Rhinolophus ferrumequinum: one gene and its partners. The protein of the gene in region 2 interacts with the protein of the main gene of each other region in a pairwise test. Links are inferred from orthologs where the notes say so. Each region holds a gene or a part of one and is shown on either strand. Other genes may lie near its edges.

Region 1 (7,531 bases), on a different chromosome or scaffold from region 2:
AAATGTAATCACATTATTTTTAACAAAAGAAACAGGAAAATAATCCAGTTAAATACAAATAGAAAAAAACCCTCATCTAACAGTGAGAATTGGTTAAGTACAATAGAATATCAGACAGTTATATGAGTGCATACTTACAAGGTAAACAATGACAGGAATTTAATAATATAAAATTTTTTAACTAAAAATAAGTTTTATTATGGAAAATTTCAAACATACAGAAAAGTAGAAAGAAAAATAAAATGAGCACCTCAAATACCCATCACCTCGATCCAGTAATTAGCATGTTGCCATATTTATATCATTGTGTTGGTGTGTTGGTGTATGTGTTTGCAGAACCATTTCACAGTAACCATGATATATCTTTAATGGCAAGAATCAGGATATATTCATTCACTCAATTAAAATATATTTATTGAACATCTTACCATGTGACAAGCTAGGTGCTAGGGACACTGAAGTGTGTGTGTGTTGAATGTGGTAACGTGGGTAGGGAAGGAATGGGGTTCTTATATCCTGCAGAGCTACCTAGGACGGTCCCCCAGAGGGGATACTGCTCCCTCTGCCCTCCCCCACTGCCACTGAAGTGAGGTGACAGATACACTCTGTGCCGACAGCACCAGCGGTGGGGGCAGGGATCATGAGGGTCCGACCCTGCCGTAAATCCAGGGGCATTGCTACTTTCTTGCTGTGAACCAGGCAAGGTACTGCAACTCTCTTGGCCTCGGTCTCCTTTTCTGTAAAATGGGAATGATAATATCAACCTTGCAAGGTTGAAGGGAGGATTTGAATGAGAGTGTATGCAAAACACATAGTACAGCATAAAAGTGATTCAGTAAGTGGTAGCTGTCAACATCGTCACTCAGCTCCCAAAGGAAAACCAGTGTCCCCACCCTTTTCACCAAGGATAGCAAGACGCCCAGGCCAGCATGATTATCTTTAGGACAAGGGTAGGAGAGTGGGATTGCTGCAGAACAGCGGTAGGAGGCAGATGGCAGAATTCCGCAAAAAGGGGGGGAAGAAGGACTGGCGTGTCCGTTCTCCAGCCCCGTTTCATGGGCAGAGAATGTGCCCCTCACAGCATGCTGGGCACTAATCTCACTCGGTTCCCACAGTCCTTGCAAGGCAGTTCTGACTATGCTCCTTGTACAAATGAGGACACGGGCTCAGAAAGCCAACTGCACTTGTCTGACGTCACACAGCTAAGAGGTGGACATCAAACTGAAGTCTGACTGCAGTCAAACCCTGCGCGTTTCCTGGAGGGCCCCACGACGCTGCTGAGCCATTTCATGCTATTCCCAGTAAAAAGGATGAAATACGCAGAGGCTATTGCAGAGAGGAGTATTAGGAGTTGCAGAGAGAAAAAGGGGTGGGGGGCAGGGAACGTGTCGCCTCCCTACTCTCAGGCCTGGTTTTGGAAGACACGAGGCTCTTCTGCCTCTGCTTTCTGGGAAGCCGGAAACTACGCATGGTGACATCAGGCTCATGACCCTCTTTACAAATCCTCTTGATCCAAGATCTTCTGGGGTCCACCTAAAACCTCCCGAAGACCCCAGAGACTGTCATCAAAAGAAACGTCCTTGGTCTCAAGAACACAGAAGACAGAAGTCACCCAGCACTAGGGGAGGTCTGGCGTTATGGTTAGAAACAGAACAAACAGGCAAGTCGATACAGCCAGAAGACATCCAGTCCCCTGCGAGGTGGCTGCAGGGGGCAGATACTTAACCATCATGCAAGCAGGACCAGAGCCCCGTCCCAGGCGGGCCAGACACACCAAACAGCTCCGCTCAGCCCATCGCCCCGCCCACTGCCATCAGCAGAATAAACAGATTCCGTCCACACTGCCAATTAATAGTTACTGACATATTTGGAATGCTCTATCAAAAAAAAAAAAAAAAATCAAACCATCCTTGTTCCCTTCTAATCCCTCTTCCAGCCTGGTGACCACATTCCCATTGAGAAGACCAGAGGCCTGGGTAACTTCTGCAATATTTTCTCAGCAGCAGAGCAGTGCTCAGTGGCTGGAATTAAACATACCAACTAGGGGGTTTTGTTCAATACCAGTTACACCCAGATCGAAGGACAGAAAAGTACGAAGAGAGAAAAACGGAGGAGTGGGGTCAAAAAGAACAGCGGTCTGAGAGCTGGAAGCAGGCCTCCCCACCCCAACACACACCCATACACACACAATACTTGGGGCAAAGCTCACGTCCAAATACGTTTATTGAACATCTTACTTGTTTCCACAAGTAACAGAATATATTGATCATTCAAAGCAGCACTAAGTTAATTTGACTTTAATTTGATCAGAAGCACTTTAAATTGTCTCTTGAACCCAGAAAGAAACACTTTCAACTATGCCAAAACGGAGTGCAACTGTGAGGCAAAAAGACTCAGAAAAAGAGGTTAAAAATCAGGGATCAAGTTATGGCAGAACAAGTTTATCGAAACCAGCTGTCATCCTGTTCCCTCCCGAAAGTGCATACATTTGAAACGATCGCAGTCTTGAAGCACCTGATCCGGCAGCAGGGCATCCTGGACAGACCCTGCCTTCCCTACAGGAAAGGGCTCCTGGCAGGCTCCGCACTGGAAGCCTAGCTCTCAGCAGTGAGCGACCTGCCACAGCACACATCAGCTGCAGTAAAACCACCCAGATGCAAACGCCCCAGGCAATGACTCTCCCCTGTCCACCCCTTAATCCTCTGCTGTGCATTCAAATCCTGACAATTTCCCTAATTGCCCCTAATCCCTACGCAGGCCTCTCCTCAGCTGTGGGCTGTGCCAGGCTGATGTGCTGTGACCCACGGGACACAGTGGTGCAGGGCCACACACTGGAGAACGGACCATGCCTTACCTGGCCTCTTCCCCTGGGCAGAACTCACATGAGTCGGGTCGCTGGGGCAGCCACGCTTTACCACTGCACTGCACAGATTCCTGTCCAAGGTCCGGCCGAGAAAGAAGAAAGGAAAGGAGAGACAGGGAGGCCACTGAGCCCAGGGTCTGACTGAAAAAGTTAAAGGGCGTTTGATTTTGCTCGCAGATGTTGCAACTTGCCTTCCGCTGGGCAGCCAGCTTCACTGGGTCAGGCAGATCTGTTGTTTTAATCCGCCCAGCTGGGGTGACCTTTGAAACCCCTGGCTGCCAGCTGCGGAGGCTCTCAATGGAGTCCCGGGGAAACCAGGGGTGGAAGCTTACGGGTTTCTACAGCGTTGCAGATTCCAATCTGAGTGTGGAGTAAAGGGAGGACGCTGTCAAGGAGAGTGCTGAGACTTTGGAGGGGCTGGGCACACCCCCACATCTGGCCTGGAACCCCAACTTACCCCTTGGCACATCCGGCCTAGGATTACCACCCAGGGCTCGTGGGATATTTGTCTCCAGCGACCACGCTTTTTCCTCCTTAAACTGAGCAAGCCCCATTTATGATCCCTGAACGGGAGGCAAGCCCAGAGAGCAGATGGAAGGGGGAACTCCAGGCTGCAATTGTTTTTCAGGGAATCTGGGCTGAGGTCTGAACCAGTCCTACAGACTGTGTTCCCGTCATGCACAGGATCCAAAGGCCCTGGTCCCGACCCCTGGGGAGCTCCCGGAACAGTCCCTGGGGCATACCTCTAAAAGGCGGTGGCAAGGTGACGCCCAGCCCAGCACCTTTCCTCCAGGGGACACAAGGATGTCCACAGTTCCAGTGGACTCTCTCATCCTGTGCAACGCTCACCTTGGCACAGGGCACACCTCGAGCACCGTTGCTTTAGCCTGTGTCCCTCCTCTCCCTGTCACACCATCCGCTCTCACTTCTGTCCTCCTTCAGATATACATGGACAGAGAAAAGTGGTTTTCTAGGAGTAGTGGTATGCAGCTTTGAGGGACAGGTAGGGCAGTGGGTGAATCAATACATAATTTGATTCCATGTTTTCTTCTAAAGGGAATGGTTGGACAAATGTGGACCAGAGAGCTTTGAAGCCTGAGACGGACACTGATGAAGAGAACACCTTTAAGTCAATTAAATCCTTGGCCAAAACATAATATACACCCCAGATTCTGGAAGACCTTGCAGGTGGTACATATTCTGAATATTTCAATGGCGAATAACAGAAGAAATAAATCCAAAAAAATCAATGGTGTTCATCACTAGGAATGGAGACGAATAGAATGTAAGTCTTCCTAGACGGTGGTCCCTGGTAGTGGGCAACAGGACTGGAAAGTCATGTGAGATCGGAAGGAACTGAGGACAATCATTTGGACAAAATCTCGGAAGGTGCATTTATCAAACCTGTGGGTTACACTAAGCAAGTAGGAATAGCTAATACGTTGGATGCTAAATTCCCCCCTGAAAGATCAGCAAAAGGGACCAGAGCCTGAGAGGATGTTTAAAAGAACAATTTTAGAATGCCTATACTTTAGCTCAAAAACAAAAACTACACAACTGCCCAAGTACAAGACGGCTGACTGGAAACACTCATCAGGGACTCCTGGCCCCGTGGGAGTTAGGCCACGGCCCTTGCTAGGAGCACACAGCGAATCCCTCCTGTGGTGTTTGTCCCACACATCCCAGCTGGCAGCCACGGAGCTGTGTGGTTGGTTATAGGATCAACTTTTGTTTTCCCCACTGGAACGCACGCCCCGCAGGTTACAGGTCCTATGTGTTTCGCTCACTACTATATCCCCAATGCCTCAAATACTGAGGAGCACATAGTAAGTCCTCAAAAGATAATCTGTGGAATATATGAATGAATAGACCTTTGGGCTAAAAAAAAAATCACTTCCAAACTATGATGCCACTTAATTTTGTTGGCTAGGGAATCTCATGAACGTTAGAGAGAGGACGTAGGGAAAGCAGTAGGGGAACAAGTCACAGTAATAAAATATCTACCCCTCTGGGGCCCATGGGGATTTGGTTGTAGACACATGGTGCCAGTCTAGCTCGAAACCTGCCATGTAACTCATGCATTCTTTCTACTCTTTACTTCTCAGTCTTCCCGTGTGTGAAACGGGCATAATGGTGCTCTGCCCTGAGTACCCTCTCTGGTTTCCTTCTGGCAACTCTATCCAGGTCCCTGGGTTCCCACGTAAAATCATGCAAAGCCAGCCCGCTCTGTCCCCACAGCTGAGTTCTTGCCTCAGCACCCGGCAGCCTCTCCCTCCCCATGGCTTCCTGGGCCTTTCCTCTTGGAAAGCACATGAAAGGAGGGGCCGGGCTTCTGCAGGCAGATGAGCTGCCCCGTCAGCACAGCAGCAGACCGCGGGTGGGAGGAGGACGTCTGCTCAGCAACACAATCCAGAGTGCCCACATCTTTGGCAGAAAGTTATTTTTAAATTTTCTCAAAAGGGGACACACACACACACACACACACACACACACACACACACAGATCGAATCAAACCGCACACACAGTGTGAACGAGTGCGGCCTGGTCTCCTGAAGCTGCTCTCTTCCTGTTGGGATTCTTGCTTAATTTGGGATGTAATGAGAACAGGCTGAGAGAAGCTTCCTGCAATAAAAGTCACAGGCAAAAAGAAATCAAAGCCAGAAACCCCGATGATAACTAAATTAGCAAAATGCACGTTCGTATCACAGTCTAGCAACAATCCTGAAGTTCGCTCATTTTATTATCAGGTATCATCCGTGCAGATGGAAGTTTGGGGTCACACGTGTGTTTATCCACAGCCCCTTCTCCACCACCAGGTCTCCTCCCTCCAGTCTGCTAAGCCATACCAAAGAAACCCCACGAGACGAGGAGGTAGGGGCAGCCCCACCACCTCACTTCGCAGGAGCCTGGGAAATCAGCGCAGCCACGGGAACAGTACTCGTGGCTCACACCCCCACGATGCCCCGCAGCGGGGTACAGACCGCTCTGCAGTCAGACACTGCATTTCTTCACCGCTAACCATGTGGCCTGAGGGAAGCGACAATCTCTGAAAGCCTTAGCTTACTCATCTGTCAAATGGGGCTAGTATCATCCCACCTCCTGCCCATCTGCAGGGTTGCTATGAGGGCCAGCAGGGTGAATGAAAAGCCTGAGCCCACTCACTGGCACAGAAGAAGCGCTCAATACACGTGGCTATTATTGTTCACACTGCTGTTGTGTTACGATTTCTGTCAGCTCGGAGGATAGAGGCAGCCTTGGCCGAGGAGGGGCCGGCACGGGAGAAATCAGGAGGCAGCACCAGAGGGGAAAACAGTACAGAAGACTCAGCGACTCCAGTGCTTACTATGGCTGCACCCCAAACCGGCTGTGTGACCTGAAGGAAGTCCCTTCCCTTCTCTAGTCTTTCCCACATGGTCTGAAGGGCCTCTCCGGACCCTTCCTGCCCTCGCGCACCTGTGTCTCCAGGACTGCTGCCAGCTCTCCTTAGCACACCTGGGCAGGTAGGAAAGGTCCCAGCAGAAGGAGCCACGCCCAGAGCAGGAATGAGATGCTGCAAGACACCAGGTAGGAGGCAAAGCCCTCCTTACCACAGACTGCTGTTTTGGGCCCACCATGCAAGGCTTCAAGGCCTGAGAGCCAAACCCGGCAGGCGCACCTGGTCCTCACGGAACACCTGCAGGATACCAGCACAGGCCAGGACGATCCTGAAGCCTAGGACAGTGCTAGTAACAGGCACCTACCTATGCAGTTATTTCAGCTGCTCAGCCTCTGGCCAGCTGCCAGGTCTGTCTAGAAAGGGGCTGGGGCTGAAAGAGCTGAGGAGAAACCCTAGGGGGGAAAAAGGAGAAAAAGACACAACCAGTAATAGTTACTGTTTTGTGAGCACTTACTGTGTGCCAGGCATTGGAGTAAGTACTTAAGATGTACTTAGCAGAGCGACAAACATCAATAGCAAAATTAATGGAGCGTATCATTCAGTAAATGGAATATATTCCTTTTCTTTCTATTACTTCATTCTTCCTCTCCCTCCCCGAATTCAGCCCACATTTAGTCATTTGAGTTATTTAGAAACATGAGTCTCGAGTAGGGGGCAGCAGGCAGGAAGGCTAGCGGGTGGGTTGGGGCAGCCCACAGGGTATGGTGCTACTGATGTTGGAGTGTCAGAGGGCTGAGGAAAGATCTAGAAAGGGGAGGGAGAGGAAGTAAAGAGAAGGGTCACCAGTGTGCCCCGCCCCTCTTCTAGTCTTTGGAGAAACCTAGGACAGTTCTGAACAAGCAGGACTAGGGAGGAAGTGAACCTCGCGCTCTGCGGATCACACCCTGCCCTGAAGGGGGCTCTGAACAGCTTCTCTAGCTTGAGACTGGAATGTCCCATCCCTTCTTGAGTCCCCTGAAGCACACACTGCCCCTCGGTTTTTTGGGAAAGCTGGCCCTATGTTGATGAATTGAAGCAACAGGCCCAGAGGACCTGGTGCTGGGAGGCCCCTTCAAGTCTGAGAAAGCGGATGCAGGTGAACTGTGAGCAAAGCTCTCGCAGGCCTGGCTGCTCAGCGTGGCCCCTGCTCCTCTCCATGTGATTTAGGGAAGATGACGCCAGCTTCCCATGGCCTGTTTCTCCCGGGAAAACATTAGCTCTGTGCTGGAATAACACCTGGATGATTGGAGGA
Region 2 (7,074 bases):
TTCTGAAATTCGTTGCCCTCCCCATTCTCTTACAAACATCCCTCTCCCCAAATATAACTTATGGCAAGAAGCAGTCATAGATGTCATTTATATTTAATTTTTAAATGTAACCTATGATTTTTTTTTTTTTGGCAGCAACATTGTTTTCCTAACTACGACATTAATATTAAACATGGTGCTACCTAAAGACACGATGACTGGGTAGAAGAAGGGGCAGTCTGGAAGAGCACTCAAGACCAATTGAAATGTAAGTTATCCATAATTGGAGATATCTGAGACTTTATTACAAAAATATTTTATTATGGTAATGTGGTTTAAGGTATTAATCACTAAAACCAGTGAACTTTAAACTTTGGTGCACGTTTGTTATACATCAAACCGTAAGTGGCCTCAAACAGTATGCCTTCATGTCCAAATCTTTCGAACAACAGAATTCAATCCACTTACTAAGAAATACAATAGGGCAAGAAAGCATGGACATGTGTTTCTGAGATTTCAAAACCTCAGAAGATTGATAACATTATACAGAGCAACCTCTGAAATTTTGCAAATGATATAACAGCAGATCTACTTTGAAAAGGCACTACTGACAATGAAGCTCTCCTCAGCAATACACAACTAATTTCATAAACACTGTAGAAACTACTAAATGTAGAAGGTTAACCCCACAAAGAGATGAGCAACTGTAACTGAAAAAACATACGAACAAAAAAATCATGTTTAGCCTCTTCCCCTCCCATTTTCTAAGACATTTATATCAAGGGTTTCAAGCATGTTAAAAAAATGTATGCTCACATTATGATAGGCTAGCATTTCTTATTTCGAGAAATAACGCTACTTCCTAAGTCAGGACATGGAGTCAGAATACGTAATTATAATTTCTGGAAAAAAGAACATGAATAATTTATTATAGCTCTGAATCCTCATGTAAAATATTAAAGATGAAAGAAATTAAGCACCACCTCCTACTCAGAGAACTATCCTTTTCCCAAAATTAGATTTTACATCTTACATCAAAATATCACTGTTAAAGTTTCCTTAGTCATTTAAAACATGAATTAGATATTGTTTCATTTTTTAAAAGCTATTTATCCTTAGTAGATACTTTCCGTTGTAAATGATATGAAAGTTCTCATGTGGCAAAACCTACTCTTGCTCTGTTATTTAAAACTAGAGTACTATTAATAAAAATCATCAAATGCAATTTCATTACCTGGAAAAATAACTATCTTCTAGAAACTATCACTAATCAAGAAATCAAGAGACATTTTTATATATCTAGAAGAAAAAGTGATTGGCTTCATATTAGCACTTCCATTCCAACCTTTTCAAAACAGATGGAAAAAAATTAACAGTCCTTTCATTGGAGAAGTCACAAAATTTCTGATATGCAATTCTATACTAATCAAAAATTATACCAACTTTTTCATGACTAACAGGAAACAGAAAGAATGCTAATGGCTATGCAAGGAGAGGATGCATATCTGATATTTATATTGATATGAATCCAATGGGCATTCTCTTATTAAAACTGGTAAGTAGCAATGATGATTTCTTAGGAAACCTAATGTTCAAAGAGCTTTGCACATCATTGATTATCTTATTTTTATGTACTTTAAAATGAAAGACCCATTCTTACACTTAAAATAACCTAGTTAGAAAAAGCTCTTTATGCAATGTTAACCTATGATGATTTCTAAATATTGTAATAATACGCTAATTTAATTTTCTGCACAATGTGGTAGATTTTTTGTTTTTGTTTTTTGTACCCACCACCACTCCACCCACAACCACAACCAAGATTAGAGACTAAAGCAAATGATCATCGTTCACACACTCTCAAAAATAAATCCTGACTTTTGGAAATATAGTCAAGTACAAACAAAATCTCAATGTTAGAAGTCATTTGAATGATTGTAGGGAGCTCTGGTGGTGTCGCCTGTAATTTAAGGACTGTAAACCGAGAAGGACATTGATACTATTGTGTTTATCCCTCTAAATTTTCCTCAGCGCTTTTATCAAATTCCCCTAAATAGTTCATGCATGCAGGGAATAGTATGTCTGTGTGCAACAACAGACGTTCATCTGAAATGGTTAAAAATAATCAGGACAGTATCTGTCTGGATATACAAACCTAGTTTATCAATGTGAAAGTATATCTAAAAACCCAAATGTTAAAAGATGGGCGAAGGTATTCCTATGACAGAATCTTTGAGCTTAAATCTTAGCTTAATGTAATATGTAGGTTGGTGCAATTCGTTCCTGTTGCCTCCTCCTAGATATAGAAGGAAGGTGGATGGCAGGACCCAGGGAGACCTAACGTCGATCTACACCCCCTTTCCACTCCAACCTCACCTCCCTCTTTTCCTTCACACAGACACAGACGCACTCTCCCTGACATTTGAAAGCCCAGGTGCCCCAGGGGGCACTTTTCTAGGGTCGTTTCACTGACGCGATCTGATGACTGCAGTTGAATGCCGCCCCGTCCAGCGCCCAAAGCTCACCTCTAGCTTGTGGTTGATTTGGGACACAGTTTGGGCTTTGTGGCAAAGCTGCGCAAAGCAGGAGCTCAGGCTGGTCATCTTCTGTCGCCCCTCATAAGTGATGTCCGCCTGGTCCGGATCGATCTCGCCTAGAAGCAGATCCACATCCACGAAGGCCTTGTCGAACTCCTTCTCCAGCACCTCCAGCCACCGAAACATGGATACCCCACCGGGGGAGACGCCCACGGCGCAAGATGCGCTCCCTGGGGCCCCTCCGGCTCCTGCCGGGCACGGGCCGCCCGCCGACATGGCGCCGTCTAGGGCCACTGCCGACTACTGCTGACCCCCACCGCCCACCCCGCGCTACAGGAACTGCTGGGACTGTGAGGATCCCCGTGCACGCACGCTCCTTCCGTCCCGTCCCTTCCCCTCGCGCGGCTAACGTTGGCAATGCAGCCCCGAAGTGGCAGGAGCAGCCACCCTGAAGAAGAGACGGTGGCACACGGAAGAATCCAGCAGCCCCACCACCCGGTCAGCCCCGACTGCGCATGCGCAGCCAAGACCTAGGCGGGAGCAGCCGGAGGGACGTAGTGGGCGGGGCTAAGATGCGACCTTGGCCTATGAAAAGCCTCTGCAGGGGACCGGCCCGTCAGCGGCCATATTGACAACTGGCAAACTCCCTCTTGAATGCGGGAGAAACGGAGGGGCATGGTGTCCCCTCCAATTTGGAAAGGCCAGAGGAAGAGAAGGATGTCCATGTGTCGCCCAGAGGAACGACTTCCGCCTGTTTGACTTCACAGTGGGTGGGAGCCATTCTAAAGTCCGGGAAAGTTGTGGCGGTGACGCCCTGTAGGCGGGGAAGGGAGAGTGAGGATGGGCGTGTGAGCCTGCGCAAAGGCCACGTTTTACCTTGAACATCCCAGTTCCTGGTTAGGGTGGGGTGGGTGGACACACTGGCTCATCTTGGTAAACCAGGCCCTAAATTCACAGTGGACTCTGCACATTGAAGGACTGTGGTTGACCAGGTTTTGCTGAATTAATAGTTTTGTCTTGTGATTAAGAGTCAGGCAAGCTTGGATTCAAGTCTTAAACCCTGTAACATATCAGCTGTGCCATCTTAGTTGTATTCTCTTGAATACAATCTTGAAGCCTCAGTTGCCAAAATTCACTCCGTAATGTAAAATGCTTAGCTTCAGTGCTTGGCATTTGGTATTCTTTATTATTACACTACAGGTCATTTCCAGAAACTACTTAAAACGGTGTGTTTATTTCAAAAACTGGTACAGTGTTCCCACACATGACATTTCAGAAAAACAAAATTATGACGATCTATATATTCATAAATATATTGAATGCAGAGCCCTGCTGAGGCATTGGGGATACAAAATGGAATAATACGTAACACTCAAGCAGAGCTCAGAGGCCAGTGAGTCTAATCCTCAAAGCTACAACTTTAATTTGAATTTTGCAGTACCTTTGAGAGTGTTTAGCAACTGCTCTTTGCTATTCTGCGTACTCACTTTCAACCCCCTTCCACCTCAAGAGTAGCCCAGTCTTGGAAAACGAAGGAAAAACCAATCTGAATAGTGTAGGTTGATAGGAACTGCCTCTCCATTGCCTAGGGGGAAATTTTACTGGCAGGCTACAGACTCTTCTGTGATCTGTTCATGGGACAGACTCTTCCAGTTCATTACCACCAAAGCCTGCACTGTGTACCCCTTGCCAACACAATGCCAATGAAGAATAAGAAATCATAGCTTTAGTTTGCTCTCTGGGTACTGTATGGCAGACTGGATAGCATCGGTCAATAAAGTCCTTTGGCTTGGTTCAGCAAACTTAGCTAAGCAAAACTAACCATGAGATCCTTTCCTTGAGCTGAAATAGGCACCTTCATATAGGTTTTAACACACAAGAAATAACATAAAATTTGTGTCTTGCTCCATTACCTTCCCAATTAACTTTATTTTCATCTGCAGTACTTGCAAGAACATCATTACTATAGCTACCAAGTTCCCAGCCACCTTCTCTTGTTAAACTAAAAAATTTTAACTTCCATGGCTGAAGGTCTTTCTTTAAGTAGTGTTTCATTGACCCAAACATGCTAGCCAAAAGACTGGTCTTGGAGCATGGAGTCTGAACCACCAGCAAGCAGCATGGCTAGGTAGAAAAGACAACATGTCTGTCGTCCCAGAGTTTTGCAAGTGTTTTTATACATCAAATATGGGAGAGGGGGAAGAAGGAGATAGTCTGAAAGAATTTACATGAGCTGTAGGCAAAAAGTTGGGGAAAGGTGAAGTCCCGGGGGCAAGTTTTGAGATAGCAGAGTCCACATGAAGAAATGTCTGCTAGGACACCAGTCTAGAAAGCTCACATATGAGCAAGAGGAGGCTCCTGGAGTTAGGTGGTGGCTGGCTAAAATAATCTGCAGAAATAACCACCTGGAAATTAATCTGAAATTCCAACAGGCAAAACAGGGATGTGAGAAATCTTTTTGTTAACTGGTCAGCAGCCATTAGCAGACTAGCAATACTGTCACTTTCTCTTACTTTCCAGTCGCTGTAAATTAATTTGGACCTTCGCAGAAATTTTTTCTTATAACTTTATGCATAATATAGTTAACAATGTATTTTTCAGGAATTTGGAGCAAATAATTTAAAATGAGGTGGGGCACATAACCTGGAATCACAATAATAGCTTTCCATTATGCAGTGCATACTATGTGTTAAACAAGTGCTATTTGTTTACTTCTTTGACTCTCACAAAATCCTGTGAGGTAGCTATTGTCACTTTTTTATAGATGAGTCACAGAGAACTTAAGTATCTTGTTAAAGTAATACAGCTAAAAGCCGACTGAGGTGAGATTCCACTCTAGGTATCTTTTCTTCTAAACTCTTGAAAGTTAAACACGGGTTATAGAAGGATGAGGGAATCTATTTCTTGTATAAGTTACCAGTATTATAAATTGGCAAATCAGTCAAAAAGGTTTTTCGAAACAATTTCTTCCCAGTTGTAGCCATATGCGAATCTATTAAAAAATATATCAATCAACTTCCTGCTATATTGTATGGGTAGTACTGAAATGTATTTTAAGTGTTTATATGTTTCCAGTGCTCTGATCCTTGGTGAATACCCCCATTTTCAGGATTGTGGAATCCAATTAGCTTCTGTTTCCAATCTTTTCATCTTCAACAAGTCACATCCTGTGTCTCAGAATACTTTCATCTCATATTGTCCCTTCTCATTACCATACTATGTAGCAACTACCACATTCCTATATACTTGCTATCTTGGTGCTATGTGACTAATTCAAATACGAGGTGCCCTCTATAGACATTTTTTACCCACCTTGATTGGGGTTTTGCATTTCTGCAAGTTAAATTTAACATGCCTGTGAAAAGCAGGGTTTGATGTTCAACTGCTGCCATCTGTTGGCTGTGCGCTCTACCTACATTTTTTATTTTGACCTACTTTGGAATTGGGAATTGTATTAATCTCAATACTTATGGGATTTATTTTCCTAGAGGTAAAATCTTTATACTTATATTTGCCATTGCATTGGCAGAACCTTCAATAACTGTTTCAGGAATCATGCTTACATGATTAAAAATTTCTAGCATAACTTAAATGTGACAGTCTTGTTTTAGGAACTTACCTAACAGTTTCACCACAAGGTATTGCTAGGAATAAATAGGGTGGGGACTGAGGAAACTGAAGAAGAAAGATGCTAAAGATTTCTTTGGTAGGTACTGGTAATTAGCTGTGAGATTAGACTTCAAATATTTCTTAGAGCATCATTAAGTCCCTGTAGCGAATGGACATAGAAGTTCTACTTTGGACTGGAAAGGGGGACTACCATTTAATGAACTCTACTGTATACCAGGCCCTATATTAAGCTTCACAAGTATCATTTACTCTCCAATGTCCCTACCAGGAAAAGGAAAAGCTATTAAGTAAGTGCTATTGGTCACAATAAATTGTTTTATATATTAGAAGAAACCCAAGGAAAACCCATTAACATTTTGCTTAAGATATGTGGGAAAAATTCTGGAATATATCATATTCATATGTATTATTTATGTCATATTTATTCATATTTACTAACAATTTGAAATTTTGTGATAGACATACTAATGAAGTACGTGTGGGCATTCCACAGTGATTTAGTGGCCTCATTCTCCTGATCATTTATATGAGATCTGACAATTAAGTTCGCGAACTTGTGGCAATGATGTTACTAACCTTTTTTGATATCAGAGGGATTATTCACTATGAATTTGTACCAACTGGACAAATAGTTAACCAAGTTTACTACTTGGAAGTGCTGAAAAGGCTGTGTGAAAAAGTTAGACGCCCTGAACTTTTCGCCAACAGTTGATGGCTCTTGCATCACGACAATGCACCAGCTCACACGGCACTGTCTGTGAGGGAGTTTTTAGCCAGTAAACAAATAACTATATTGGAACACCCTCCCTACTCATCTGATCTGGCGCCCCATGACTTCTTTCTTTACCCCAAGATAAAGGAAATACTGAAAGGAAGACATTTTGATGACATTCAGGACATCAAGGGTAACACGATGACAGCTCTGATG
Region 3 (7,808 bases), on a different chromosome or scaffold from region 2:
CAGTAGTGTATCATTTGAACCTAACGAATAGGTTGATCCGATTTGTATATATTACAATCTCCACGGGAAACAGAAATTATGATGACATATGGAAAGCCCTGGTTTTGTGAGTGGGCCCACATTTGGGTGACTCATTGGATCTGAGTTCTCTACTCTGTAGGGGTGGCATATAACCCCCACTCAGAGAATGGCTGTAAAGATTCCAGGTACCATATCTACAGACACACAAGCAATCCAGACAACCCAAGTGGTATCTCAGCACCTCCCATAGTTTCCTGTGTATATAACCACCGCCAACTGGGGCAGATTCAGGTCCTAATCCCAGCAACACCTCTCAGTAGCTGTGTGACCTTAGGTTAGGTTAGCAACCTAACTTCTCTGAGCCCCAGATTCCTCATCTGCAAACACAGAAGATCACCTATCTTATAGGGTTGTTTTGTGGAGAAAATAATATTTGCATGTGGCTCTCCCAAGCCTGATATGCAGAAAGAACTCAATAAATATTAGCTGGATTTGAATGTGCACAGAATAGCTCTGACATATACAAGTCCTGCTGAATAGGGCTCATGGTCCAAAAATGGTCATAGTGACAAGTAAAGGAGAAAAGGAAAGAGGGAGAGTGACAGAAATTAAAATTAGAGACAATTTTTTAAAATCACTCTCTTTTCAACCAATAATTTCAACCTGTTGTTTATCAACTGTACTGCTGAAAACTTGGTCTTATCTGATTGAACAAGTTCTGCCTCTTTACCCCTCCATTCCTTCTGATAGAAGGAGTGACAACTACAAGACACAACGAAAAGGGGCCCTGAAGAACTCACTGTACTGACTTGAATCAGTTTGGTGAAAGGGGGCAGCCTCAGGCACCTCTCACTGCCAACAGTTTATCTTCAGATGCTCCTCTAGCTTAATTGTTCAGAAACCAGAGGCCGTATCAAGGCTATCAAGGCACCCCTCCCCCCACAAGACATTTTTCAGAATCTAACCTGGTACCACAATTCTGAAACCCAAAACCAGAAGAGCCACAAAGGACAGCTCTCCTTTATTCAGCACCAACCTAGTATGTGTTAGACTCAGTGCTAAGCATCTGGCATATAATATCTGCACAGGAGAATAGTCTGAGTCTTTTAAGCCTCATTTTACAGGAAAGGAAACTACTACTGGACATCTCCTAAAGACATTCTCTAAGCCCCTCAGCTCCTCATATGTCCTCAAGGACTCAAGTCTGTATGACAGGTGGAAACTTCAGACCTAATCACAGGGCTGGATTCTGCAAAACTTCATCACACACAATCATCTTAGCCTCACAGTAAAAGTGGGTGTGGGAAGAGGGTTAAGCTGGGACAGAGAGAGAGAGAAGAGACATCTTCATCTTTTAGGAGCCACCTCTAACTTGCAAATAATGGTCAGAGGCTACCTGGAGGAGTATGCCATTTTCTTTCTGCACAATAACCTCTCCCAGAAAAAACCCAGACAAAAGTGACCTGGCATTTCCAGGGGAAAATGAAAAATAAAGCTCTTCTTCCAAGACTCACAGTGAATTCCTAACCCTTCCTGCCCCTCCCTGCTCCAGAGTGTGGCTAGATGGTTATTGTTTCTTTTCTTTTTTTTCCCTGTGGTCCCCTGGTAACACAAATTACGTTTTCAGGGACTGGAGTCCCAGAGTGCAGTGATGTTGTAATAAACATAACCAGGACCAAATGCCTTCCCATCATATTAGATGATGCCATTTTCCACCAATCAGGCTCCTCCGGCGGCAGACCAATCACCAATGAGGGACCAGACGGAGGCTGTGAGGGGGAGACCTGGTCATCTGCAACTAAAAATAAGGGCGCTTCACGATTGGCCGCTGCCACTTTGCAACAGGAGTTGGGACCCACACACCAAGCACCATACAGAAGGCACACACAGGCAAAAACTTTCACAGCCCGGGGGTTCATATGAGGTGGGCTAGTCTGGGGTTGTTGGGTCTTTTTCCTTTTCTTAATTTGCTGACTTGAAAAAAGACTTGATCCAGAGGGGCCCCTCGCAGGCACACCTTCCCTCCTAGACACCTCAGTTTCCAAAGGCCCTTCGCAGCCACCCTGAATCGAGAAAAGGAAAGGGGTGTAGGCCAGGGGCCAAGACACTCACCTGTCCGGCTGTGTCATAGAGTCCCAGGAGGTACTGCTTGCCCCCTACGGTGACGCTGACTGCAAGGGCAGAAGCGGGGGCAGAGAGAAAAGCTCACAATTACTCTGGAGCAATTTCGCTCCCCACCAGGACCCTCCTTTCCCAATCCAGCTGGAGGCAAGAGGGTGCTCGCAAAGAGATGTCATCCCTTTTCCCTTGCGCCCGACTCACTGTGAAGTGGCTTGAGGTTCGGGGTGCAATGGGGCCCCTAGCTGCTCACTCCCTTCTCCCAAGTCCCTTAGCCACGACTCTCTCGCCCAGTACCCCCAAATGTTTGGGGCAGTAGGGGAGGCGGTTGTGGGAAGGTCAAGGAGGTCGGCCCAGGACGCCAAAGGGGTTGGGAAGTGCGGGGAGCTGGATCTGGGCGCGGGGGTGGGGGTGGGGGATAGGAAGACGGGTCCGAGCTGCCGGCGAAGGGGATGGCTTAGAGGCAAAGCTTGGGGGTGGGGCCGGGCGCCTGGCAGAGGGCGCGGCGGGAGAGGGGTAAGGAGAGTGCCCAGGGGAGGCAGCGAGGGGGCTCCTCCAAAGTTGCTCTAAAGTTCCCGGCCCGGGGAGCGGCCCCTTAGTCAGCAGTTCCGACTCTTACCTGCGTAGTGGTCGAAGACGGTGGGCACGTACTCCTCCGGGAAGGCGTCGTTGGCATAGCTCATAAGTAGGCACGTCTTGCCCACCGCCCCGTCGCCGACCACCACACACTTGAGCATCAGCGCGCCGGGCCCGTGAGCCATGCTGCAGCCAGCCGGCCTCCGGGCATGGTCCCCCCGGAGCCCCCGCCCCGGCCCCCGGCTCAGCCCCAGCCCGCCTGGGGGGTCCGCCGCCGCCGCGGCTCCGCGCAGCAGGACCGCCCCCCCGGCCCCATACAGCGGCTCCCCCCGCTGGAGGGAAGGAGGCGGCGGGCCCGATGTGCTGCCGCCGCCTTGGTTGCTGCGCGGATCCCTGTCCGGGCCCCGGTCGCAGAGTCCGCCCGCTGCCCTCGCCGCTCGGCTCCCGCGCCCTCTCCCCAGTCCTGCCTCCCCAGGAGAATCCGCTGGATCATAAGACTGTCCGGCCCCGGGGGAGACCGCAACTTTAGGGAGGGCAGAGAGGGGAGGGGCCAGGCGGCTCTGCCCGCCCCGCGCCGCGCCGGCCCCGGCCCCCTCCCCGCAGGGCCCAGGAAGAGGGCGGGCCGAGGCACCTCCCCCAAATGCGGGCTCCTGCGCCCCGCGCCCTGCACCCCGCCCGCAGCAGCCACTCGGCCCTGCCGGCTCACCCTAGCTTGACTCCCCGCGAGGGCAGCGGAGAGGGGGCGTGGAGGAGGAGCCGAAGAGGAGGGAGGGGAGGTAGGTGAGGCTGGAGGAGGGAGTGGGGAGGGAAGCGCTTGGGAGGAGCCGAGGGTTCCTCTCGAAAGTGCCCGCAGCGCCCGGAAGCGTCCAAAGGCCCGGTTGCTGGGAGAAGACGTGGAGGCCTCATGGGGGACCCACGACGACTCCAATGACGCAATACTCATGCAAAATTGTACATATAGATTTAAACTCCACCCGGTAGGCAAGATCCATCCCATCGGCCTCTAAATGCACAACTGCTCTAGAAATAGGAAAGGAAGAAAAGACAAGAAGATTAAAAAAAATTTTTTTGAAGGCGCGCGGGGTGATGGGAGAGGAGTGGTGGTGGTCCCTGACTTGGAAAGTAGGTACTCTTCGATTATTGCTTGGGCCCCCTTCCCACCATCACCCATGCCGTTCACAGCAGAGGCTTGAATCATTTACTATGAAACTGGTGACTAAGGAAATTACAGCATCTTGAATCACTGAAGCATCCGCAACCAGCCAGAAAAGGGAGACACTGCTGGCTCTGAATGCGACAAATGTACCTGTATTCCCCTGGAGGCGACATTCTCTGAAGCCCCCTTGCAGTGTCCCTGGAAGGTGTTGTTAGGTTGTGATCCTTGAGGAGTGATACACTCTTGTGCTCTAACACTTGGCCTGTGATCCAGGTGGCAACCCCTTCCTGGGCAAAGCTTGGAAACACTTGGCTGGCCAGATCCAGTTCACTGGCCAACAGTACTGCTTTGAACATTAGGCACTAGGGGAGTGAGGTAGGGGAGAGTGAGTACACCTCCCTCCTCTCCCCCTCCCCCCCCACAGCTGACCTGAGATAAATCACTTCCTATCATCGATTCACAGGATTAGAAAATGCTGCCTTGAGAAGCAGCACACAGGTCAACTGGATCATCTTCCTTAGATCTCCCTTACGTTGTAGGTAAGCAAACAGACCTAGAGAGCTGAAGTGGTTATCCCAAAGGCTTCCCTAACTCCAGCATTTAAGGACTTGGAGCACACTTTGCGAAATACTCACTGCTATATCCCCACGCCCCACTTCTTCAGTCCTCAACTCTCAAACCGGAAATCTGATTTCTGTTGTCGCAGGAAGATTTCCTGGATGATTGGAAGTTCCCTGTGGAGTCCCAGGCCACATCTCACCCGACCCCTCCATGTGCATCTGAGTGTGGGCATTTGCAATGCCTGCTGCCTTAGATTAAGCAAGGAATCCGAAAGATAACTTTGTATGTACTGAAGGACAGGTTAAGAAAGGCAGCTTTGAAGTCAGGTCTTGGTTTAAGACCAGTTTCTGCTGCTGCTTAGAGGGGAAGAAAGGAGGACTGGCTCCCTTTGCCTGCAATACCATTTTTCAGGCAATTGCTGGGATCACTATTCTGAAAGGAGGGTCTATCAGAAGAGGTTAAGGGGCTACTGGAGTACACTCAGCCAGGAGAGTGCATTTTGTCCCATCTCTGATGCTAGTTAACAGTGTTACCTTAAGCATGCCACTTCTCTAGGCCACGGCTTTCTCATCTATAAATGTGATTTCATCCATAAGAGTAAGATCAGGTCTCAGCCTTGAAACTCTAGGGCCCTCTGGAATGTGTTCTGAGAACTCCCAGTAATAGCCTTGGAACAAGAGGAGAAGCAGTTGATGGAGACATGGGGAAGGCCTTTATAAGGGATGAGGAGGTCTGCCCCAGGCCTGGAGGATGGAGGCTTCCTGGAGACTTCCTATTCAGGGCTCCAGCCTCCCAGTTCTTACTCTAGTCCTCAGAGGGGCAGACATTTACTAGGGATCCAGAGAGCTGGAGGATCAGCTCCAGAACCTTGAAAAATATCAGGGACCCCAGGTCCTGGATGCTCTGGGAGAAGCTCTGGGAATATCAGAGCACCCCACGTGAGGAACTGATGTCAGATGAATCATGCAGTGGTGACTTCATTGGTGAGAGTGATCTCATTCCTTTGGCCCGTAGAAAAGCCAAAACTGATTGCCAGTAATGCTTAGCGCTCTGGGCTGATTCCACCAGTGTGTGTGTGAAGTGGAAGGGGAGAATTATCCTGGATGACCCAGGTGGGCCCATGAATGGGTTAGCTGGAAAGACCAAACAGATCTTCACATAAATCTCACCTTCCTATGTGCAAAGAAGACAGTGTCTCAAGTGGATTAAAAAAGTCCTCAAATTTCAGGGATTGGGGAACAGAAAGCAACTGTTTCTAAGCCTCCTATAGGCTCTGTGCTCAATTTCCTTCCTTTGTGTCAAATGCAAATGTCAAAACACATTGATCGGTCTGTGTGAGGACAGTGAAACCTCTCCTTAGCCTTCTCTTTTTCCTGTAGTTCCTACCCTTCGTTGAGTATTTCATTTCACAAGCATTTATTGGGGTCTGCTAGATGCCAGGCTTTATGCCTGGGCAGGGGACAAAGAGCTGGAAAGCCACAGTCGCTGGAGGGAGAGGTGGAAAGGAACTGATGAGCAGATAATTACTGTATAATGTGATCAGTGGTGTGGTAGAGGATAAAGGACAGGCTTTTGGAAGTGAAGGGGAGGCTGTTAGTACCTGGCTGGCTCTGGATGTGCTCAGGAAGGATTTGCACAAGGGGGTGTCGTTGGGCTGGGGTTTAAGAGGCTAATAGGAGTAAGAGAAGAGTGCCTGGGAAACACAGCCCCAGACCACAGCAAGAAGGAACAAGCACGCAACCTCTTGGGAATGATGAGCCATCTAGGGTGGACAGAGTGCAGGATCAGTGGTGCAGAGGAACTGGTTTGTGTTTAACTGGGAACTGAAATGCAGCCAGTCCTTGGGCGTCTGAAAGCTTTGTTAAGGAGCGTGCAGGAACCCTCCTGGTCTGTGCAGTCTGAGCACCGTACAAAGGTAAAGGGAGAAATCTGGCCCACTTGACATCCATCCACAAAGCCATAACCCTGGCTCAAGGCTGTGTTCATTGGAAGAAGGAGCATTCTTTTCTTATCACAGATATGACTTCTGGTTTGTCAAACCTGTGCCCATAGGGCTGCGTCCACCCAGAGAGGGGCACCGTTTTCTACTTAGCAGAAGACAAAGGCACTATCTAGGTAAACAGTGGCTCTGGGAATGAGAATGTGATGAAGGGAGGAAAGGAGAACTTGCAGGACATCTGCTGTGTACTTGGCTGTATGCTATGCCCAGGCACTGTCCTGAGTATTTGATGCTCGCTTTTATAGGGCATCTTGTTTCACCTCCAAAGCAACATGCAAGATAAAGTTTGTAGAGAGTATTTGTTTGTCTGTCCAGAACAGCACCATTTGCTTCTGCTAAATATTCTTTCTAATTTAGTCTCTGTGATCATGTGGTTTAAATGGAAGGCGCCATCTTCTTATACAGCCTGCCCCCGACCCCTGTTGAGGAGCCCTGGGGTAGGTAGCTGATCTAAGATGGGGCAGTCTGAGCCATCCTTGAAAGGTTTGAATTTAAGATTCAAAACAGGAGTCTCCCCTCTTTTACTTACTGAACTGGAAGATGTGAGCCTGGAAACTGTTGGCCTTTCATGTTTCATGTTTCAGCCATTCATAAAAAAGCCCATCCAAGAAAATGAAGCTAAAATGCAGAGAGAATAAAAAATGGAGAGATAAAGCCCCCTTCTAACCAGCTCCAAAGATAGATACAGGCCATTTGTGAGTTCCTACTTCTGGGTATTCCCAAGACCCTGCTGCGCTACTGTTCTGCAGTTGGTCACTTGAGTTAATAAGTCCCCCCTTCTCTTTTTGCCTAGTGAGTATGGGTTAGTTTTCTGTCACTGGTAACCAAAGAAATCCTGACCATTATAGTATTATCACTGGAGTTCAGATAGGTGACGTGCAGAGAGATTAAGAAATTTTCCCAGTCCCACAGCTGTTAAGTGGCAGGGCTAGTTTTCAAAATGATCTGTCTTCAAAGCTCATGTTATTTCCCATTTTCCGTATCAAGGAAGCATCAAAAGTGTTTCAGTAAGAAAATGACAAGTTTAGAGTTGTCATTTGAGAAGAAAATGTATAGAGAATTTTGTCACTCTGGGAGTGGTGTAGAAAATGGATTTTGAGGGGATGAAAGTGAAGGCAGAGAGAGTGAAGAAGAGAAAAATCATGAGGGTCTGAACAAGCATGGTTCAGAAAAAGGAAGAGGCGGCCGTGGGTACCAGGGATATTTAGATATCAGAATCTTCAGGGCTTGATAACACAGCAGGAGAAGACCTAGGATAACTCGAAGGCTTCTATGTTTTGATTCCATCAATTTTCTCTCCCTCTCTCTTTTCCTTTTTAATCTCCTCTGTGTTTACCCTTTCTACTTCTTCTTTGGGCTTCTTCCTCAGTTTTTAAA
Region 4 (7,311 bases), on a different chromosome or scaffold from region 2:
AAGTAAGCAAGACTCAGAGAGGAAGTGACCAACGCAGACTCCGGCTGCCTAACAATATTAATAATAAAACAATATTTTTTGAGGGCTTATTAAGTGCCAGGCATTGTCCTTAATGCTCTACTTGTATAATCACATTTAATCCTCACAGCAACCCTATAATCATTCTCATTATTCAAGCGAGGCTAATTAAGGCGGAGAGAATTATGTAGTTTATCTAAGGTTCAAGGTTATACAGCTAGCAAGTAGAGGTGCTTGTTAATAACCCAGCTAGTTTGGTTCTAGATCCACACACTCAATTGTGAAACACTGCGGTCTCTCAGATAAGCGGAGTACGTATCACCAAACACATTCGTACATGTAAACTTTCACAGTTTACTGCTCCTGCGGCATGATTTTGTGTTTAATAACAAGGTCACTCATATACAGCGTACATCAAGCTGGCTGGACGGCGTTGCCAAACTTGTCAATTTCAGAGTTGAAGTAGTTAGTTATCTGCTCACTAATAAACAAGCCCTATCAAATAGGGAGTCTCGCTATGATCAGAGAGCAATTTAGTTTTACCTTTATTTTTTTGAAATATTTGTAATGAAATATGTCACACCAGGGTCTATCAAAGCAAACGTTAGCACTGACATAGAGTTTTATAAGTTTACATTTTGAGTAGCTCGAGAAAGAAAAAAGAAGAAAACAGGGGGAGGGGTGGGTTGGGAGAGAGAGAAATCAAAACCGAGACTTCCTTATCCACTGTTAGCCACAAAGTAAACCAGGTTCTCTTAGGAAGAGGCCTTTTACTTAACATGCTGCCAGCCAGACTTCCGTGCTGGTGCAGCTATCGTTGCAATTATATCCAGAAAGAATAATCACTGTCTTCAATATTACATTTACTCAGTTTTATACTCTGCTTGTTTTTCTTCTCTTTCAGATTATCAACCTCTTGCACATCAGATGATCAAACTACTTTGTCCATTTCCAGAGCTCAGCTTCCCTATTTATCCAAGGAGGAGGATGAAGCATGCCTGTGTCTGTTTTGACATCATGTTTCCTGAAGCTACCCTTCCTGTGACACAAAAACCTGTCCAAGCTTTAAAAAAATGAGGCAGCAATTGAAATTCTCAGAAGCTCTAGGACCTACCTGGGAGACACCAAAACCCTACCAGTCCACTAAGAGAGGAATTCCAAGCAGTGCAAATATTATCTTCCCTCTGGTCTGCACTTTTGGCAGGAAGGATTTGTATAAGTCTGTTTTGCCATTCTATCCAGTACCCTCACCAAATCCCTTTAGAGACAAAGCTGTCCCTCCTCTGCCCCCCACATGAACTGGCAAGGGTGCATTTGAAACCAACGCAGCTTCTTGCAAAACAAATCTGCAGTCTCTCTTCTTCAGAAAGGTGGCAGTGTTGCCTGCGGTTTTGACCAAATTACAAAGCAGTGGCATGTTTCCCCGGGATTAACAGACCAACCCACCTCACCTCGCCATGGGAAGGAAAGGAAGGAGGTAACCACAGCCAAACCCAGTGGCTGGCAGACTCACCCTGGAGCGTCAGGGCACTGAGTCTTGTGGCCCCCTAAGCTCTCAAGTTTTCATCTCCTTTCAATAGTACAGAGCCGAAGACAATCTCCAACAAACTCCACAGACACCTAAAGGCCAGGAGCATCTAAGGAAGTCACAGAACCCTGATTTTTTAGCATCCACTCTTGTCATTGTTGAAACACCCCTCCTCAGTAAAACAGAGTGGTCCCATTTAGAAGGGCTCAGGAAAACTTAGCCAACTACATTAGCATCCTTCTCACACCTGTTACGCGGAATGTTCACATCCGAGTTCTCATACAGTAATTCATCTTCGAAATAGGAGTGCTGCCACTTATTGAGTGGTTTGTTACCGCTTTTATAAAACCAGTATTATACACACAGCTATGGAGAAAGAACTTAAGGAGCCCCACACATTCAGACGTTCCATGGGCGCCTACACATTCCACCCTTCCTGAGTTCCCAGCTCCCTTCCACTCACCTTCACTCAGCGTCCTTGGAGAAGTTTCTCTACGCGCTACTAACACAGAAATTTGGGGGGAAATTCTCCATTTATAAATATCAGATGGTTTGGGAAAAAAATATTTGTGGCACTGGACTTCTTTTTTTTTTTTCTACAGTGATGTCATTTTAAATACTTGGTGTGCTCCAAATTTGCTATTTTTACTTCCCCCGGGTGACTTTTTTGGGAAATAATATTTGTTTGGATTAGCTACATTTTAAGTGACCCCTGTAATCTAATACACAGCATAGGTTCTTCTTCTCAGCAATTATAACTAATATTATGCAGCTCACAAACTTGAAATCCCTTATTTGTTCATTTTCAAACTTGTTCCTTTTGGATGCACCCCTCCAAATTTTCTCTTCGCAGATACAGAAAAAACAAATAGAAGGAAAAGATTGGCCTCACCGAACAAAAAAACCACACTCATCAACCCACAATATTTAAAATGGAAAACATCAAAGGCCCCCAAAGTCAAATAAGATTTTCACTTCCAAATGTGCTTTTGGGGAACAAGGTTGAAGTCGCCACGGCCGGCCTTGAGACATTTATTGGAAAGCAGTCCAGAGTTGAGAAGTGCAGAAGAGGAAAGTTTAAGAAGGAATGCTAAATGCCTCAGCCCTACCTGATCTGAATTTGCTCCTAATCAGCAAAGAATGCTCAGCCCCCAGGAGGGTCATGTTGAGTCTCAGCGAGCCGCTGGTCCCTTGGCCAGACGCCCCCTGTTTTCCACCAGGAACAGGCTCCCGGGAGCCCAGCTGACCGCAGCTAACAAACCAGAATTCATCCAACTCTTCGTGAGCTCCCCTGGGTAGTACAGTGGCAGCCAGTGACCGAAACCAGTGTCCCCAGAAAACTGGCGGCTCCCCCCTCGCTGTGCGGGGCTGATTAACTCTTAGCCGGCAGGACCCTCCTCCTCCTGTGTCTGGCCAGGGGCAGCGGCATCCCAGGCGTTCTCGGCTGATGTCATAGGCTGCCAGCGATTGCGGAGTATCACCACCACGCCTTTATGAAGGTCCCAAGTTTGCTATCTGATACTTTTTTACTACTGACAGGAGCTCAGCCAATCAGCAGCAGCGAGCGGGGACCTGGCGCTTGGAGCAGCTGGAGGCGTCTCGGGAACCGGGTCTTAACTCTTTGCAGAGGGCTGAGCGGACGCGGAGGCGCAGCGGTGGGAGGCAGGGCCTGGGTCCCGCACCGGCGAGGGGCAGAGCTAAGGAGCCGGAAGGACAGAAAGGAGGGCTGCAAAGCCCCTGAGCTTGCACGTTGTGCAGGCGCGGCGGGCATGCGAGTCTCCCCGGGGTTGGGGCTGGGCCTGGGCGGTGGGAACCGCCCGGGCTTTTCCGCCTCCTGGCTGCAGCCTGGGAGGCGGGCGCGGCGGGAATCTCATACCCGGGAAGGGACGCGCGCGCCTTGAGAGACCAGATAAGCTGGACCCCTTTGCAGGTAAACACAGCTTCCAACAGACCAGAGTCCCCACATTCTCTCCCTGTTTGAGGGGCTCAGGGCACAGGCAGAGACTGTATATATCTCTCAGTTCCAATATCAGACTCGGATACACGTCTACGGAGAAAATAAAAAGCCTTTCATTTTTCTGGAATATGCGCTTTCTGGACAAGCATGACTCAGTGTGTCTGCAGATCCGGCCGGGACACAATGCTCTCCGTTCGGGGCAAGACACAGGAGTTGAACGACCTTCTGGGCTCTCAGTAAGGTGGGACTCGAGGAGGGAGGGGAGGGGTCTCTACAGCAGGGTGATGACAGAGCTGGGGTGGGGCTTAGCGTGGAAAGGCTCCAAGGCTTTTCCTGTGAGTGAGTGCTCCTATGAGTGAGTGCTTCTTAGGGAAAAATCCATTCCAAATCGAACACTGAGCTATTGTGCATCCAGGTGTTACAGGCTCATCGATAAATAAAATGAAGACCCTGCTCTCAAGAAGCTGCTTAATAGTTGGTGGCACAGAAAATAAAAACCAAAGTATATATGTACATATATATATACTTGGTTGGGTTGAATTTATCTGCAATCTTACACGCACATAGGCTTCCAGATATCATGTGTTACGCAAATGCCTGCTTACGTCTCAGGAGACCCTAAACCCTTCAAAGAGCAGTTGGTGACAGGTGAGGACCCGAGGGGACAACTTCTAATGCCCTGAGTTTGGGCCTCTGTCTGAATTCTCTGATTCTCGAGTTCACAGTTTGGATCTGCCCATCCATTTACATCAATAAGGTCTTCTGTGATGGGCCACGGTAATTCCTGATGTGTCAGAAAGGAGGCAGAGCAAGCCCACCCAGGCACCCCTTGGGAACAGTGGCCTAGTCATGGAGGCTGTGTACAGCCCGATGAGAGGTCACGAGCACCCCAGTGATCATGTAACATTCCCATATAGAGTATATTACTTTCTTCGTCCTGCCGTAAACAAGTGGCCTAAAAAAGCACACATTTATTCTCCTGCAGTTCTGGAAGTCAGAAGTCTGAAATGGGTCTCACTGGACTACAACCAAGGTGTTAGCAGGCTGCATTCCCTTCTGGAGGATCTAAGAAGAGCGTTGTTTCCTTGCCCTTTCCAGCTTCTAGAGGCCCTCCTCGTTCCGGGGCTCGTGGCCCTTTCCTCCATCTTCAAAGCCAGCAGCGGGGTGTCAGGTTCTTATCAGGTGGTATGGCTCTGACCTCTCCCTTTCTGCAGGACCCTTGTGATGACATTGGGTCCACCTGGATAAACCCTGGTGCAAGGTCAGCTGATCATCAACCGTAATCCCATCTGTTACCTTATTCACCTCCGCCATGTCATGTAGCATAGTCACAGATTCCCGGGATTAAAACGTGAACATGGAAAGAGGGGGCTCTATTCTGCCTGTGGCACAACATGAGCCCTCTTTCCACCAGCATGTTCTAGTCTTCAGTTGAGCTCCAGGCTCCTGGTCTTCAATGAAAACAGGTCAAGTGGAGGGAGGTTTGGAAATGGGGATACACAGGAGCCTGGAACCAACCTGGCAAGATTGCCGATGCCTGGGGCAGGGAGATACTCTTTGGAGAAGAGATTGGTGAGATAGGAAACATTGCTGAATTATCTGAGTAGAGAAAAAACTATTCTGAGTAACATTTAAAACAAAGGAAAGCCAAACAGATTTTTGTTCTGAGGGTTGCGGAGCTGAGAAGGCAACTTGGCGGAGAACAGTTTTTTCAGTGAAAGTTCTGATAAAAACAGCTGAAGCCAGCATTGAATGTAAGGGTCTGCATGACCTAGATGAGTTGGACAGGAGTAAATTGTTTTTCCTCTGTGGGCAGGGAAGGGGGGAGGAAAGAGAGAGAGAGAGAGAGAGAGAGAGAGAGAGAGAGAGAGAGAGAGAGGCTTCTTTTCTGAGTCCATTTGGGAAATGCTGGTAACCATAGCCCTCTTCAGTTTTCCCATTATGCTGTGGAGTTGCTGATGTCTGCCCTCTGGGATTTATACCCCCTATGGCATGGAATATCTCCGGATATAAATATGCTCATATAGAAGCTCATCCTTGCCCCTCTCCATGCGAGCATTTTTTTGTGTGTGTGAAAAAAAAACTTGGGGTGGAATTAGATGAGGGTGTCTCCAAGGGGAACAGCATAGCCTGCTGTGCTTTGGGAGCAGCAGACAGTCGCAGCAACAGCATGCCACCACCAGCTTCTGTCCTACAGTTTGATCACCCGGGCAGCACTTCTCTGCCTTGGTGCTCTGTGACCTGCTCTCCTGAGGCCTGCAGTGAGCCTGGGATGTGAGGTAGAGCAGACAGGGGAGCTTCTAGCACCAGGAGTAGCTTCACTTGAATCTAAGCTGCCTCTGTGACCAGGGATGAGTTATTTAAGTCCTGTGAGACCCTCAGCATTTTCACATAAAATGGAGTTAGAAATGCTTCCCAGAAGAATTGGAGAGTTTAAATGAGACAATACATTTGGAGGGCCCAGAACAATTCTTGCTGGCATGCGTTAGGCTCCTTCATTGACCCTCCCCCTACCGCCAACCATTCTTGCTGATTCCAAGCAATCCTGAAACCTCCCCTTTGTTATGGCTTGCCTTTCTTTTGCCCTCAGTTATCTCTGGCTGTGTAACAAATTACCAGCTTAACACAGCACACACATTTCTTATCACACTGTTTCCTGGGCCTGACTTAGCCGGTCCTTTGCTCAGGATCTCACAAGGCTACAATCAAGGTGTTGGTTGGGACTGTGGGCTCCTCCGAGGTCCAGCATCCTCTTCCAACCCCACGGGTTGTTGGTAGAATTCAGGTCCTTGCAGCTCTAGAACCCACCATGGCTTGCTTCTTCAAGGACAGCAGGAGAATCTCTCTCTGGGAATTCTTTTTTACAGGGCTCATTGGCTTAGTCAGACTCACCCAGGGTAGGCTCCCTTTTAATTAACTCAAAAGCATACTAATTTCCTAATTAGTATGATAATTAGGAATGAGACCTGCAAAATCTCTTTAATTCATTCATCTAACACAACTGAATCATGACAGTGTCACCTGTCACATTCGCCAGCCCTTCCTCTGCTGAAGGATTATATAAGGATTATATACAACTCATTGAGGTTCACTGTAGAGTTCTGCCTTCCACAGCTGTGGTCCCTGGCCGTTAGCCAACTGAGAGTGATTGTCCGTAGGCGCGAGTCCCTAGCACAGCTCAGGGTAGTGAGCTTGAACTCTGACCCCTTATGAACCTCCTTATGGGTCAGCATGAGATCAGCTACGGGTCACAGAGCAGGGGGTGGTGAGCAGAGAGACAGCTCGTGGGTATGGCCTCAGGACCTCCAGTTCTCCCCTTCTTAGCACAAGCCCTTTGCCTTACTCAAGGTCATTACTGTCTTCTTGGGTTTTGTCATCCTCTTGTCCTAAGTGTCTGTTCCTGGTATCACCCCGCTTGTCTGTTTTCTTGTTTTCTTACCCATGTCTGATGAGCACCTTCAGGGGACCATTTGTTCCTCTTTCATCCATTCATTGAAAATGTACATAGAGATCTTGGCAAGTCACTTTGGCAAGTGCCCTGGTGGACATACAGGATGAAGGCAGATTTGCAAACTCAAGCGATAGGACCAGGAATAAGAGAGAATGTGGTGGGGTGGGGGTATGTTGCAAACTGAGAGCACATGGCTTGTCCACGCGGGCCAACCGTGACTAGCTCTAGTTGACTATAGCCATTTGGGAGGGGCTACAGACACTTGTTGCCATTCCTTCCAGTTGTTCACACAAACTTGAAATCCAGGTAATAATGTTCAATGTATCAGTTTTTAAAAGGTGAGCAACTCTCTGTCAT

What was found.
Region 1: the proteins of GOPC (region 2) and MYLK interact in binary tests that used the Homo sapiens proteins (3 or more experiments, as listed by UniProt). The two-hybrid records come from large-scale screens. The link is inferred for Rhinolophus ferrumequinum from reciprocal best matches to the Homo sapiens genes GOPC and MYLK.
Region 3: the proteins of GOPC (region 2) and RHOQ interact in a two-hybrid assay, tested with the Homo sapiens proteins (2 studies listed by BioGRID). The link is inferred for Rhinolophus ferrumequinum from reciprocal best matches to the Homo sapiens genes GOPC and RHOQ.
Region 4: the proteins of GOPC (region 2) and MYOCD interact in binary tests that used the Homo sapiens proteins (3 or more experiments, as listed by UniProt). The two-hybrid records come from large-scale screens. The link is inferred for Rhinolophus ferrumequinum from reciprocal best matches to the Homo sapiens genes GOPC and MYOCD.

Annotation. Positions count from the first base shown.
Region 1 is NC_046285.1:48,354,280-48,361,810, forward strand, and holds the start of MYLK (myosin light chain kinase, smooth muscle), read right to left. Parts: upstream 3,016-7,531; 5' UTR 2,855-3,015; intron 1-2,854. UniProt on the Homo sapiens protein: Calcium/calmodulin-dependent myosin light chain kinase implicated in smooth muscle contraction via phosphorylation of myosin light chains (MLC). Also regulates actin-myosin interaction through a non-kinase activity.
Region 2 is NC_046286.1:68,269,931-68,277,004, forward strand, and holds the start of GOPC (Golgi-associated PDZ and coiled-coil motif-containing protein), read right to left. Parts: upstream 3,014-7,074; 5' UTR 2,793-3,013; coding exon 2,505-2,792; intron 1-2,504.
Region 3 is NC_046296.1:39,054,032-39,061,839, forward strand, and holds the start of RHOQ (rho-related GTP-binding protein RhoQ), read right to left. Parts: upstream 3,021-7,808; 5' UTR 2,901-3,020; coding exon 2,759-2,900; intron 2,193-2,758; coding exon 2,134-2,192; intron 1-2,133. UniProt on the Homo sapiens protein: Plasma membrane-associated small GTPase which cycles between an active GTP-bound and an inactive GDP-bound state. In active state binds to a variety of effector proteins to regulate cellular responses. Involved in epithelial cell polarization processes.
Region 4 is NC_046304.1:7,061,277-7,068,587, forward strand, and holds the start of MYOCD (myocardin), read right to left. Parts: upstream 3,005-7,311; 5' UTR 2,711-3,004; coding exon 2,656-2,710; intron 1-2,655. UniProt on the Homo sapiens protein: Smooth muscle cells (SM) and cardiac muscle cells-specific transcriptional factor which uses the canonical single or multiple CArG boxes DNA sequence. Acts as a cofactor of serum response factor (SRF) with the potential to modulate SRF-target genes.